Linked DNA regions of Daphnia pulex. The protein of the gene in region 1 interacts with the protein of each later gene in a pairwise test. Links are inferred from orthologs where the notes say so. Each region holds a gene or a part of one and is shown on either strand. Other genes may lie near its edges.

Region 1 (6,576 bases):
TTGTACGAGCTCAAGCGGGTGGAAAATGGATGGATTTAGCCCTTGCTTGGTCGCTATTTATTGGACTACAAGGGAGATGGGAACGTTTTCTACGAATGACCCACTTAACTACGAGCCAACGCTTTCCTTTCCTTCCAGTCCTCACCTTTTTTTCTCGACTGCAAATCTCTCATCCTCGAGCTAGTCGATCACTCCTGCTGCTGTTGCTCATGTGAGCACCACCATTTACCTTATCCGGTTTCTCACTCCCCTAGCCACCCTCTTCCTCTATCGGCAATATCGGCACACGGGGAGAGATTTCCAAAGCAGAAGCGACAAGGGCGTAGACACTCAATGGTTGACAGCCGATAGGCCTACCGCTTATAGATGTAGCTATACACCTACATACCTCCGCGAAAAGTATGGCTTGTGCACACCTACAACATATCATGTATAGTTGAGGAGCACAACCCTATGTCAAATCGGTCGTGCCACATTTCAATTTTTAGTGGGTAATAGACTGTACCGATGCTAATCTCATAATCAAATGCTAAGTAATACGCCCATCGTGATTACAAAGGGTTTAGAACATCCTATATATTTGGTCCTGTTTGACGATTGAGAATAGTATTCATCAAAAATAGTGATTTTAAAGAATAGAATTTCAAACACTACGAGTTGCATCATTACAAATTAATTTAGCAATAGATTTCAGTTTGGGAAATAATCATTTTTGATACTTACTGCAGTATCCAAATTAAACAATTAATCTGGGTTTATTGAAATGCTTTTTTTTTAATTGAATCAGTAATAACTCGACGATTTCGCCATCTAGGGTGCAATATTCGAGTCATTTTTTATGTACTATGTTAAACGGTTTAATGGATAGCGGCCGATGACGCGCAGCGCAGATGGGTTGCTCATGTGTAAAATAATATCTAACCAATCGCAACGTTGTTAAACTGCCAAAAAAATTTCGAATTGAATATGATACGTACCCTAGAAGTCGTTGCTTGAGTGTTAACTGCTCTATCATAAAAAAACAGAACTGATAAATGATAATCAGCAAAAAGCCAAATTTAATATTGATGATTCCTGTTAAAAAAAAATCTTTATCGGGATTAGTCTAATCGTGATCCCCACATTTCTACTGCCGCTGGTGTCTAACGTTTATTTTTTAGAAAAGAACTAGGCAACTAGCGTTCTGTAAACTCTATGGAGTAGCTTATTTCGTTACAGCCAACGACAACATTGCATTTGATATAGATTTACATCTCTAAATTTGCACAGACCGCGAAATTTGATTTTAAAAAGAGATCCGCCTAAAATCGACTATTCGATTTATTTCTATATGGTTAATTCAGAATTTTAGCTCAATTCTACCATTTTGGTAAATCCGATTTTTTTTTAGTTAAGTAAAAGTGTAGATAATAGATTGTCAGTCAATTCATCTCTTTTAAACGTGTACAGACATATACAGGTAATCTGTGAGTAATACAATACATATTCAGAATCACTTTGACAGCTGAAACCAACAACGCCGGACAGGAAAGATTTACTTGAAGTAAGGCTAAGCGATAAACTAAGGCGATAGTGTTTTCTCTGTTGATTCTTTTCTGCAGCAAAGTAGCTTGACGTGTCAAGGAAAACAAGCTTTAGACGGATCTTTTCAACCTAAAAGGTTCTTCTCGTGTATTATAGTTATCTGCTTTCAAAATCTAAAACAACTTGTGATCACGGTTCAACCACTTCCAGTTGTCTGACACAAAAAGTTCAAGGAAACAAAATAAACATTTAGAAGCGATTACTAAGTCAAATTGATACACCATAAGATTATTTACCGCCCCAAATTATTCCATTCATTAACAGAAATACTACATTGTATTATTGCGGCCAATTAATGCTGATACAATTTTTTTCAAAACAGCGTTCAGTGCGTTCACCCCCTTCAAGCCAAGGCAAAAAATTTATATTTGAGATTGTAGGGAACTGATTTTTTCCTAATTTCATTGAATCTTTTATGGCAAGTTTTAGTGACAGGAAGTAGCAATCTCAACAAATATTTTTTTGCTAAATTTCAGTTTGCTAAACATTTTTGTTTTCTTTTTTAAATATGCCATCTTTAAATCTTGAATTATATTTAACTCAGGCTTTAAACGATACATTTACATTTTTGATCAGCTCGATTGTTTTATTACTTGATAGCGAGTTGCTATAAGAAATGTATTCCAATAGAAGAAATAGAATTACAAAGAACTATTGGAACGAATTCATGATGGTACAGCTAAGATCTAACAACTGAAGTTGTTCATCAGCTCCTTCCGCCAAACGGTGATCACAAATCTAATCAATAGAAAATACGATTGAAAAAATTGAGTTAAACTAAACGCGACAAGCCTATAGAAATTAGCACCGGTAATCGTAACAAAAACTTTTGAATGAACTTTATACCGCCAGCTTTTCGCATATCACGTTCTTCTGCTTGGATGAAAGTTCTGTGGAAAAGACGATTCGTTCATGCAGTTGGTTAAGAAGCTGGGAAACCGAAAATCCCTCAGCCGAAAAATTGTTGATAAATGACTGCATTGCATCATATGATCCGGAAGTACATTTTTCAAGCAGGCCTTCAATCCAACAACTTGGCACTCTCTTCAATAAAAACATAAAATATTCTTTAAATGAGATGGTTAGTAAAATATGATTTTAGTACAACTAGTAATTCGAACGATTTATATAGTTTTTTGGCATAAAAAGGCGCATAAAAACCTATATTATAGTATACAAGGAATTTGAACATCCATCGAAACACAATAATCAACGTATAACTCCGATAGGAAATAATACTTCCATCTACTACGTTTCCAACTTCACAAAGTAATAAATAAAACAATTATTTAAAAAACTTACCCCTGTAATTTCATAGATGTCTTCAATGGTAGGGCATGCTTCAGAATTCAAATTGGCGATAGATTGAAGAAAAGTAATCGCCCTTCGAAGATCCCCTTCGGATGCTAACAAAAAATGAACCAGATATGTTAACCGATAAAAATGTATAGTGGAAGGATATATGTGTGTATGTACCTTCGATTAAACTTTCCAAAACTTCTTCTGAGCATGACATATTTTCAGCAATACATATATGTTCTAGTCTTTTGACCAAAATTTCGCGAGCTGATTTTTCAATAAATCCAACTTTTACATGTTTACACTAGTCACAACATTTAACAAATATCTTACGGAGTGGTTTAAATCTAAACTTGGAGCATCTTGACGTTAAGGGCTCTATGATGCGGCTTACGTAGTTACAAATCAGGCAAAACCGAGTCGATTTCGTCTCCTAGAGAAATTATCACGTTTATGGGAAACCTTAAATATAAATTGCTGTAGAATTTATTTTGAAATATTACCTTCTCCATGGTTCGGCGGAGAGCCGCTTGTGCAGCACCTATCAGAGTTAAACAATGTCAATTTGAATTTTTATATGCCAATAATTCCTAGATACTAAATGAAATGCTATCATGGAAAATGGTAAATTTAGTTATTGGCTACACAATTAAACACTATAATAATTTGTAAAAAAGTTTTTTTTTAACCACCTGTCATAGAATCTGCTTCATCCAAAATCACAATTTTGAAAGGAGGGCATTGTTTTCCACTGTACAAATATAATTAGTTAAATACAACAAAATATAGTGTGCTACGATTTCTTAAAAAAAAAGGTTTCAAAACTTACTCAGGTCTAACTGAGCTAACAGTTCTTTGAGAGAAAATCTTGACTTTTTCTCTTACAACTTGGATACCTCGTTCATCTGATGCATTCAATTCCAAAACCCTAGATCAAAAACATTAGCTTGTGCAATAAGATCTCTTCTGTGAAACAAAACATTACATAGGTTGGAAGAAAAACAATTTACCTATCCTTGTAAATATCACCAAAAAGATCTCGGGCAGCTGCTAAAATGGTGCTGGTTTTACCAGTACCAGGTGGACCATAGAAAAGCAGATTTGGAAGGTCAGCTCCTTGGAGTGATTTTTGAAGTACTGCAACTACTTCTTCCTGATATGAAACTTCATCAATCGTTCGAGGACGGCTGGAGTATGACAAATGATTAAAAAACTGTTTCACATATTATAAAATAAAATTCAAGTTTGTTTACTATTTCTCGACCCAAGGTATTAAAGAATGCTTTTTTTCTTCAACATTTCCAGGAAGTAATGGCACTCCACTTCCCTTAGACTGATTAGAGAGCTTTCCAGTTTTTAAAAATGAATCCATTTAAGCAATTCTTGTCATTAACAGACTACGAAAAATTTGAAGTAGAGACTGCGATCTTTTTATCTCGCGCACCAGAGATGCTTTAGCTTGTCGCTAGGGGCAGGTCGAACGATTTTGAAAAAAAGCAGCTCTATTAATTTTGTATGTCTATGATAGCTCTCCCCGATATTCCGGTAATTATTATTTGTAATCTATTATTATATAACGGAATTCGATGGTTTGATAAATAAATGTTACCCCCCATTTCCTCTACATTTCTTTGCTGGTTCTTGACTTCTTGTTGTGGCTTGTAGGTATTGTGCAATGCTGTGTTGTTGTTGTTCCACTTCGCGGGTCTTTAACTCATACAGCGTTGAATGATTACTATTACTGCTATTACTAGAATGCGCGTGCGCCTTGCGCGGACACTAAAATGCGCGGAATTTGTCTTGCGCGGAAAAAACTAAAATCAGAGCTATAGATGTTATACCATAGACAAAGACCACTGGTTGAAGCTCTTCATAAGAAAATTAACATGGCCAACTGTCGCCAGAATTCTTGCTACCCTTCCTCCGATTTCTCCAACCCCGTATTACTTGTCCTGCCCTCTAGTGTACGTTTTCATCTCTACACTCTGCTTACTTCTATTCAATTGCAATGATTAATTGATTTCTCTGCTTTTGTAATTAGCTAATGTCAAAATTTAATACAATTTGACTTCTTAATAAAAATTTTTAAGGCAAAATTACCTAAAACTATTAAACGCCAGCAAAGAATTTTACCAAGACAGAAGGAAAACAATCTTCGTCTGCAAAACCCTTCGTAGCCTCGGTGCAGTACAGTACTTTGTCCGCTAGAGGCACTACAATCGATACGGGAGCTCGGGGTCAGTAGGGATAGGGCTAAAAGGATAGCACAGCATCAACCAGTGGTCTTTGTCTATGGTTATACCAATGAAAAAGTAGTAGATGCCAAAAAATCGTGCGCAGTTTACGCCGATGCGCACCACAGCGGCAGATAGCATAACTAAACTTTTTATTACGCTTGACACTTAGCGTACTTCAAGAGACGAGACGAGAACCGACTGCTTGTCGAACAAAGGATCTTGAAGTACGCTAAGTCCAAGCGTAATAAAAAGTTTAGTTATGCTATCTGCCGCTGTGGTGCGCATCGGCGTAAACTGCGCACGATTTTTTGGCATGTCATACTACTTTTTCATTGGTATAACATCTATAGACTCCTGGTCGCTTTACGGCTGTGTTGGCTTCTCTATCCCGGTTTCAGGGTAACAGTAAGCCGATTTTCAGAGATTTTAGGGCGGAGCCTGTCAGAATTTGTGAAGTGGAAACGTTAAAAAGAGCCATCTAGGCTCTCAAAAGTAGCTGAGCGTAGTAGCTGACACACTCACTTGAAGTTTCCAAATCGGCTTACGTTTACCCTGAAACCGGGATAGGGAAGAAGCCAACTCAGCCGTGAAGCGACCAGGAGTCTAGCTCTGCTAAAATGCGCGTTTAAAAAAAAAAAGAAACGTACTAGTTTGCGCGCATCGCAGGGAGAAAATGCGTGCCTAAACACTAAAATGCGCGCTGGCCGAAGGGAATATGCGCGCACCCATACTGTGATACTGAAATGCGCGCAAGATCCAAACTTGTACATTTTAAACCTGCGCACACTTTAAACTGCCTCCGCCAACACTGATGCGCGCAATCAAACAGGAAATTGCACATATTAAACGTGCGCGCAGCCAACACTGATACGTGTAAATTAGGGTACTTTAAAGGGTTATAACTAAGGCTGTAACCCGGAGCTAAATGGGCGGTTTTTTTTTTAGATAGGTTTCCTAGATTTTTTTTTTAACACGGGTTTGATCGGGATGGGCCAAAAGCGAAAAATGACCCGACCCGGGTCATCCCACGGGACACAACAAACTTACCGGCCCGGGTCACGCCCAGGGTAAAAATCGGGTCAAACACACATTTTTTAAGTTTATCAATGGACGTTTACAAATTATATTTATATACATAGTCAAACGTACATTGATAAAAGAAACTTGAAAATGTTACTGAAGTTTAAATGTAGTAGTTAACTTTCATCTCATTGAACAAACTTGAAAAAATTCCATAAATTTCTTAATAATCTTCTTTTTCTAGCAATGGCACGTCAATACTGTCTTCTTCACACTCCTGGATGCCCTTATCTACCACTTATTCTACTTTTCACTACGGAATTCTCGTAGAGCATTTGACGGCAACATTTTTAGGTCTTTCTTGAGGCCGCAGGCATATTGCATAACGAGCTTCTCTGTTCTCTATGTGAATACTAGACAACCGCTCGGGTTGGCG
Region 2 (6,473 bases), on another chromosome or scaffold:
CCGGCACTTGAAGACGGTCCGGCTAATCCGCCGCATCAGCGCCGCTTTCCACAGCATTTTTGTTTTGTCTTTTTTTTGGCCACGTCAACTTGAGCACACAGTGAGTGAGAGAGAGTGAGTGAGAAAGATGTCGATGGAAATAATGGAAAAAGAATGGCAATACTGCAATAGATATATAGAGGATTGCCCGTCGTCAAGTATCACCCGGCTGGACGAGACTCGACGGATCGTAATGGACTCGCAATCGATCCCTACATAGTAATCATTCTTTTTCTAAATTGTTACGTTTTCTCTTTTTCTTTTCTAATAGGAAAAAACAAACAAACAAATATGTTTTCTCTCTCCTTCTCTCTCTGTATGTGTCAATATCTCCGCCCACTTGTCTCTCTCCTCTTTTGTTTGGGGGTCACCTGCGACGAGAGACATATAACAATAGGACGTGTGATGTGGTAAATATATAACAAGCGATGGGCCAATTTTTCGACGCCACACACACAGACAACAAAACGTGGTCCACTTGCGCCATTTCGCACACATAGGTGTGGCAATGACACCCACTCTACACAGACACACGTGCTGATTGAAAAAACAAATAGATTTCTGTACCTGATAAGAATCCGGTGGGGGGCGAAACGCACTTTTGGGTTTGTTGCCGACGAGGAACAAAGCCGAGCAGAGTTCCGATAAGAAGAAGAAGAAGAGAAAGTTGCGCCCGAACCCGTTGAGGTGGCGCTGTTGAATCCGAACGCCAGTAGCGAGTAGCGAGTCGACTATAGACGGAGTCCACCACCAGCCAAAGATACGCGTATATACCTCTCCCACACACACACACACACACAAAACAGCAAGGGGGGTATGAGTGTACGGTATCTCTTGCATCAAACGCAATCAGCGCCGTCGCCGTCGTCCTGGCATCGACCGCCCCCCTCCACCGACCGACGCGCCCAGGTCCGGCTGTTGCTGCGCGGGCATCTCGCCGAGCAGCCGCTCTGCTTTGCGTTTGACACGGTAGCCCCATGAAAAATGACAATGACAAAAAAGAGAAGAAGAAGAAGAAGAAGATTGAGAAATATCGAAGAAAATCAAACGGCGCAGAGCGGCACCACCGCCGGAATCAAGTCGTCGTCGTCGTTCCCCCCCCCTGTTGGGCGTTGGCTTATTCTCGGCAAAACAACGGGGTCGGGGGTCGGCCCTGCATCTCTGCTAGACTTTTGGATCGATGATCTACCACCCTACCACTCCCTTTACGTTACTTTTGCCCCCCCACCCAAAAGGCCAGACACACACATACACACTATATACTATATTGGGTTGAGAGGGAATCGACGCTCTATAGGCATGGCACAAGATCTTTTATAGACAACGCCGGCGCACTACTGGACAAGCCAAAAAAGCGGAACCCCCTTTTTTTTCCAACCCACACGAAAACAATATTCGAGACATATCTAACCCATGTTATACTCATCATTACTGAGACTACTATAGGTACTATAAATGTGATGTTGCTACGTGCCCAAAGCCCCAAAGTAAAGCGCATATCCGCCGCCCTCACACTTTCGTTTGACGTCTTCATTGTTATTCAACTTGTTTAACCAGTCTGCCGTCATCGGCTCTCTCTCGGGTTATTGGTTCGTCATCTCTTCATTATTCAGCCGTGCCAGTCCATACACATGAATCGACTCTTTCCGTTCATAAGACAACGGCTATAAGTGTATTACATTATTTCACTCCACGTAATAGATGTGTACACGGCGTGCGCTGGCACATGACTTTGAATGCATCCAACATCATCAAAATCTATCTAGCCAACAACTCTGCTCCCCTTATGTAGCCTGCTGCTGGGAAAAAAAATCGTGACGTGTGTACTACTAGACTCGTCACGACGACGGCCCAACTTTCTTTTCATATTTTTCCCATTACACCCGCGAGTTTCTTGAGTGGCGTTATTCATCAACTCGCCGAGAGTCTATATAGCGGCTAGAAACTTTCTTCATTTGCCTACATCAAATGTATACATAGAGCAGCCCAGTAGTTATATATACAAAACAGCGCCGAGCAAGTGACTGCTGGGCGCTTTTCATCTTCATCCGCTAGCCGGAAATAAATAAAAAAAAAAGTTGGCAAAAGACGACAAGAAACGTCTCGTTCGTTCGCTTTTCTATTATGAAAATAGCCCCCCCCCCCCCCACCACCATCCGATCGATGATGATGAATCTCTTTGTACTCTTCTTCTTCACTATGTACACACAACTGGAGATGTTCCACCATTATGGGCTGCTACTGGCTGCCGACTTGGCCCGGTGTGTGTATAAAAGGGCCTAGAAAAGGGGTAATCAGTTCGCCCGTTGCCAAAGGTTGACGTCAGCGGGCGTTTCTATATCATCGATTAGTTGCCACTCTCGTCAATTAGCTCGACGCCGCTTTTGATTATTCAGCAGCAGCCGAGATTGATTCCTGTTTGGTTATTTGAATCGACCAATGAATTCCGGTCGTATCGAAATGATTAAAACAACGGCGCAGCGGCAGCATATAACCAATCAAAGTGGAGGGCTGCGCTGTTGATGAGGATGTATCCAGCAACATTATTATTTTGGGTGCCGTATTCCGGTGCTGCCGGATGGTGTTGAAGAGTTCAGAGGAACCACTCAGCCCTGCTCATTTATGTATCAGAAGAGTTTGAACGATCTACCCGAAGAGTTCCCGCTGGACGAATCGATAACTTCCTCAGCTGGGCCGAATGCGGAGAGCGGACAAAAAAAGAGGGTGGCGTATATAATACATTATTGAAGGGGCGACTGAATGACACAAGGAGAATGAGAGAGAGGGGGGAAACCAGAAGAGTCGACGCGCAGGGTGCGCATCCGCCAGTCTTCACGCAACTCCCAGCAGAGCTCGTCCGGCGTTGCCGGATTTTTGAAGCGAGTCGACACGATCGATAAGGGGACCGTTTTCCTGGGCTTATCGAGACGGGAAGGAGAAGCCTGGTGGTGCTGGCCCCAGCCGTTGTAAGTGAGTAGACGACAATTTCTATACGGGTGTACACAAAACAGCTGTGGCAACTGTGGCGACCAGCACCGGGCATCTCTCCTGCTGCTGCTGTCTGCATGTGTCGTAACGTCATTTGACAAACAACCGCATCTCTCTCTCTCTATCGTCTCTGTGCTGAAACAACAATCACCCAAAATGTTGTCCGATTACGAGCCAGACTTTTTTTTCGAAGAGGACAAGATGTAAGTTGATTCGTTCCCTTTTGTAGCTATAGCTCAATCCATTCCGCATTCATTTTTATTTTTGTTCGGTGCGTTCACGTTTTCCGGTTTTTTTTCCCGTTTGATTGCGTGTGTGACGTCGTCGCATGAAAAGAACTCGTTAACCGACTGGTCGATTCGACTCGAGTTCTCCCAAAAACCCCAAATGTTTACCATCGATTTCAGTTACTACAAGTGTCACTTGACAACACTTTTGGTCGTGTAATTATTTTGGCTGCGGGCAGAATAATAGTCAAGAGTGTTGAGAGAAAAGAAAAAAATAATAATAACTCGGTGGTGTTGTTGTGTGCTGCCCTTTTGTTCAGTTCAGTTCAGTTCATTCTTCATCGCTCTGTGTTGTATTTTCATTTTTGGCCGTTGGATTTCCGTTGAGTCAATTTGGCTGCGCGCGCGCACATCAGCGAAAAGAGCAAAATGTGGCCGTATTACGCCGCCCAGTTGCCCATGAAAGAAGATTCCATGTAATTTTCGTTTGATTTTGTTTTTTTTTTGTTACTTATTTTTATTTGCTTTAAAAACTCACGGCGCATTCTTTTTTTTTTCTTTCACGGCTTGATGAATTTTATGATTGATGTGTTTTTTTAAATTTTTTATTTCCTTATTTCCTTCAATATTACGCACTCGCCTTCACTCGCTCTATTTGCGCGCTCCAATCCAAAAGTCCCGAAACGACTTTTCACAGCGGAACCGGGTAAAAACCATCGACGTAGATAGAGACAACCATAAAACCAGTTCGATATTATATAATCTATATAGCTCAAAAATCCCAGTAGATAATCCCATACACACGAACAGAAACGGACATTGTTTCTCCGATAATAACGACGTTATATTTCTATTCTTATTTCTACCAAAATCACGAAAATCGATATACACGAACTAACTGTGCGTGACCACCTGGGAAAACGTGACCGACCAACAAATCACCTGGACCGCCGGCAATGATGGATATGGCCAGTAGTAATAAAGTTAGCTGGGACGACGACCTATCAATAACAAGTCCATCAGATGAACGTCATAATATCCAGAGCTCTCGTGACGACTGCGATGGTAGCCCAGCAGCGGCAGCTAATAACGACGACGACATTGTCCCGGCCGTTGTTAATTCCGACGAGCTTGAATCGTCCTCTAGCATGATTCTTCTTGAGGTCGAAGACATTGAGGACGAACTACGTGGATTTTTCTGGCCAGAGAATCGAGAGTAAGTCGACGACCCGAGTGCGCGCCTGTACAATCTGCAAAATGTAGAATCGTCGTCGACTATATATAATACGCCTCGCAGTGCGTGCAGCAGTTTAATGGTGTGCGCTATAAATAGAGAGAGGATCGATATTATTTGCCATCTGTATAGCAGCTCGTTTTGCTGCTGGTAAAGCCCATCATCAAATAGTTATTCCATTTTCCAACTTTTGGGCTCTTTAGATGTATGTATAATCATGTAGTCTCTAATTCAACGTCGTGTACTCTTTCGACCTCGTTATTTCGGCCGCCCTTTCTGCGGTCTTTGACGTGTACTCTAACGCTTTTATCACGCTCTCACGATCGATTGGCTATATAGTAGCTCTGTGCATATTATTAGGCTACTATGTATGTTACATTTCGGGGCTCTATTGGCTGAGCTGGCTTCTGCTTCTGCTTTTGAAATTGTGTATGATTGATGTTACGTGGCTTTGAGAAATTATCGACTGGCAAGTCGATAACTTATTTATCTGCCATTTCGCATCGTTGAAATGAATTAAAAATGAATGTTTGCATCACGTATAACAGGGGAATGACGATTACGACGGGTTCCATCGTTCTGGAAAAGGACGGATCAAATTTGATTGGAATCAGCATCGGAGGAGGTGCACCTTATTGCCCTTGCCTCTACATTGTCCAGGTTTATTAACCGAAATCTATCCGGCGCTTCCGGCGCGGTGCGGATGGAATTTTTAAAATTCGTATGTTGGGTAAATTTAGATATTTGACAACACTGCAGCCGCGAAAGACGGTACACTTCAAAGTGGCGACGAAATAATTGGAGTGGACAACGTCTCGGTCAAAGGCAAAACCAAATCCGAAGTGGCTAAAATGATTCAAGCCGCCCAAAGGTAATCATAATAATCAGATTTCCTCCGCGCGTAACTATATATACGTACTTTGGAAGGAACCAACAAATTTGAATTTCAATTTCGTGGTATTTTTAAAATTGTAGTTCAGTCACGATCCGGTACAACAAACTTCACGCAGAGCCCGCCCAGGGCAAGACGTTGGATTTGATCCTGAAGAAAGTCAAGCACCGCTTCGTCGAAAACATGTCCAGCTCGACGGCCGACGCTCTGGGACTTTCGAGGGCTATCTTGTGCAACGACAGCTTGTTGAAGCGTCTAGAAGATCTCAAGCGTTGCGAGGGAATGTACCGAGGCTTAGTCGAGGTATATTGCGTGTACCTTCTTCGTCTTATTCTATCATTATTTGCTTGTTCACGTCACGTTGTTGTTGATGTTCTTCCTTCCACAAACACGTCACGGATGTCATTATTTTTCAAAATTGGGTTCGTTATATAGCACACCAGGCGACTCCTACGCTCCTACTACGACCTCTCCCAAACTTACAAAGGTATATATTTTATAATGGACTCGAAATAAGATTGAAAGTGGAGTGAACTTTTTTCTTAGTCCAAGAAGAGACTTAAATTTTCATGAAACGAATGTTCTTGTCGTGTGTCTTCTTAGACTTTGGCAACATCTTTTCAACCATCGGCGTTCGCGAGTTGCAGCCTCGAGCCAGCGAAGTTTTCACAAAGTTTGGCGAGATCCATCGGCAAATGGAACGCTACGGCGTCCAAATGATTAAACAACTCAAGCCGGTATACTTAATATAACATCCGGCGCCGAGCGAGTTTTCCAGCAAAAAGCCTCCGGCTTCGATACAAAACTTTTGTCTGATGTGCTTGCTGCCCCTCCACAGCATCTGCAGCAGCGAAACTTTTGTCCGTTCATATCTAACTGAATCAATCCATACATGTTTAAATCAGGTGCTGGCGGATTTAGGGACTTTTCTCCACAAAGCCATCCCAGATACGCGGATGACCATCGGTCGCTATGCTGACGCAAAGTTTGAATATCTCTCCTATTGTTTGAAGGTATGTATAACATGGGATGTCTGACTATTGATCCCGAATTTAATGAACTTGGCGATGAATCAGGTCAAAGAAATGGACGA

Evidence for each region. The genes of interacting proteins can lie anywhere in the genome.
Region 2: the proteins of replication factor C subunit 4-like (region 1) and PRKCA-binding protein-like interact in a two-hybrid assay, tested with the Caenorhabditis elegans proteins (3 studies listed by BioGRID). The link is inferred for Daphnia pulex from reciprocal best matches to the Caenorhabditis elegans genes rfc-4 and Y57G11C.22.

Annotation. Positions count from the first base shown.
Region 1 is NC_060027.1:6,481,043-6,487,618, forward strand, and holds replication factor C subunit 4-like, read right to left. Parts: upstream 4,346-6,576; 5' UTR 4,256-4,345; coding exon 4,137-4,255; intron 4,071-4,136; coding exon 3,894-4,070; intron 3,812-3,893; coding exon 3,713-3,811; intron 3,635-3,712; coding exon 3,576-3,634; intron 3,425-3,575; coding exon 3,387-3,424; intron 3,317-3,386; coding exon 3,217-3,316; intron 3,151-3,216; coding exon 3,061-3,150; intron 2,991-3,060; coding exon 2,887-2,990; intron 2,629-2,886; coding exon 2,431-2,628; intron 2,323-2,430; coding exon 2,236-2,322; 3' UTR 2,169-2,235; downstream 1-2,168. UniProt on the Caenorhabditis elegans protein: The elongation of primed DNA templates by DNA polymerase delta and epsilon requires the action of the accessory proteins PCNA and activator 1. This subunit may be involved in the elongation of the multiprimed DNA template.
Region 2 is NC_060018.1:683,018-689,490, forward strand, and holds the start of PRKCA-binding protein-like, read left to right. Parts: upstream 1-2,936; 5' UTR 2,937-3,183; coding exon 3,184-3,230; exon of another isoform or gene 3,231-3,670; coding exon 3,671-3,730; intron 3,731-3,930; coding exon 3,931-3,960; intron 3,961-4,230; coding exon 4,231-4,470; intron 4,471-5,036; coding exon 5,037-5,148; intron 5,149-5,228; coding exon 5,229-5,359; intron 5,360-5,463; coding exon 5,464-5,683; intron 5,684-5,815; coding exon 5,816-5,867; intron 5,868-5,983; coding exon 5,984-6,117; intron 6,118-6,285; coding exon 6,286-6,393; intron 6,394-6,456; coding exon 6,457-6,473. Other genes in the region: uncharacterized protein LOC124188834, read right to left, coding at 1-57.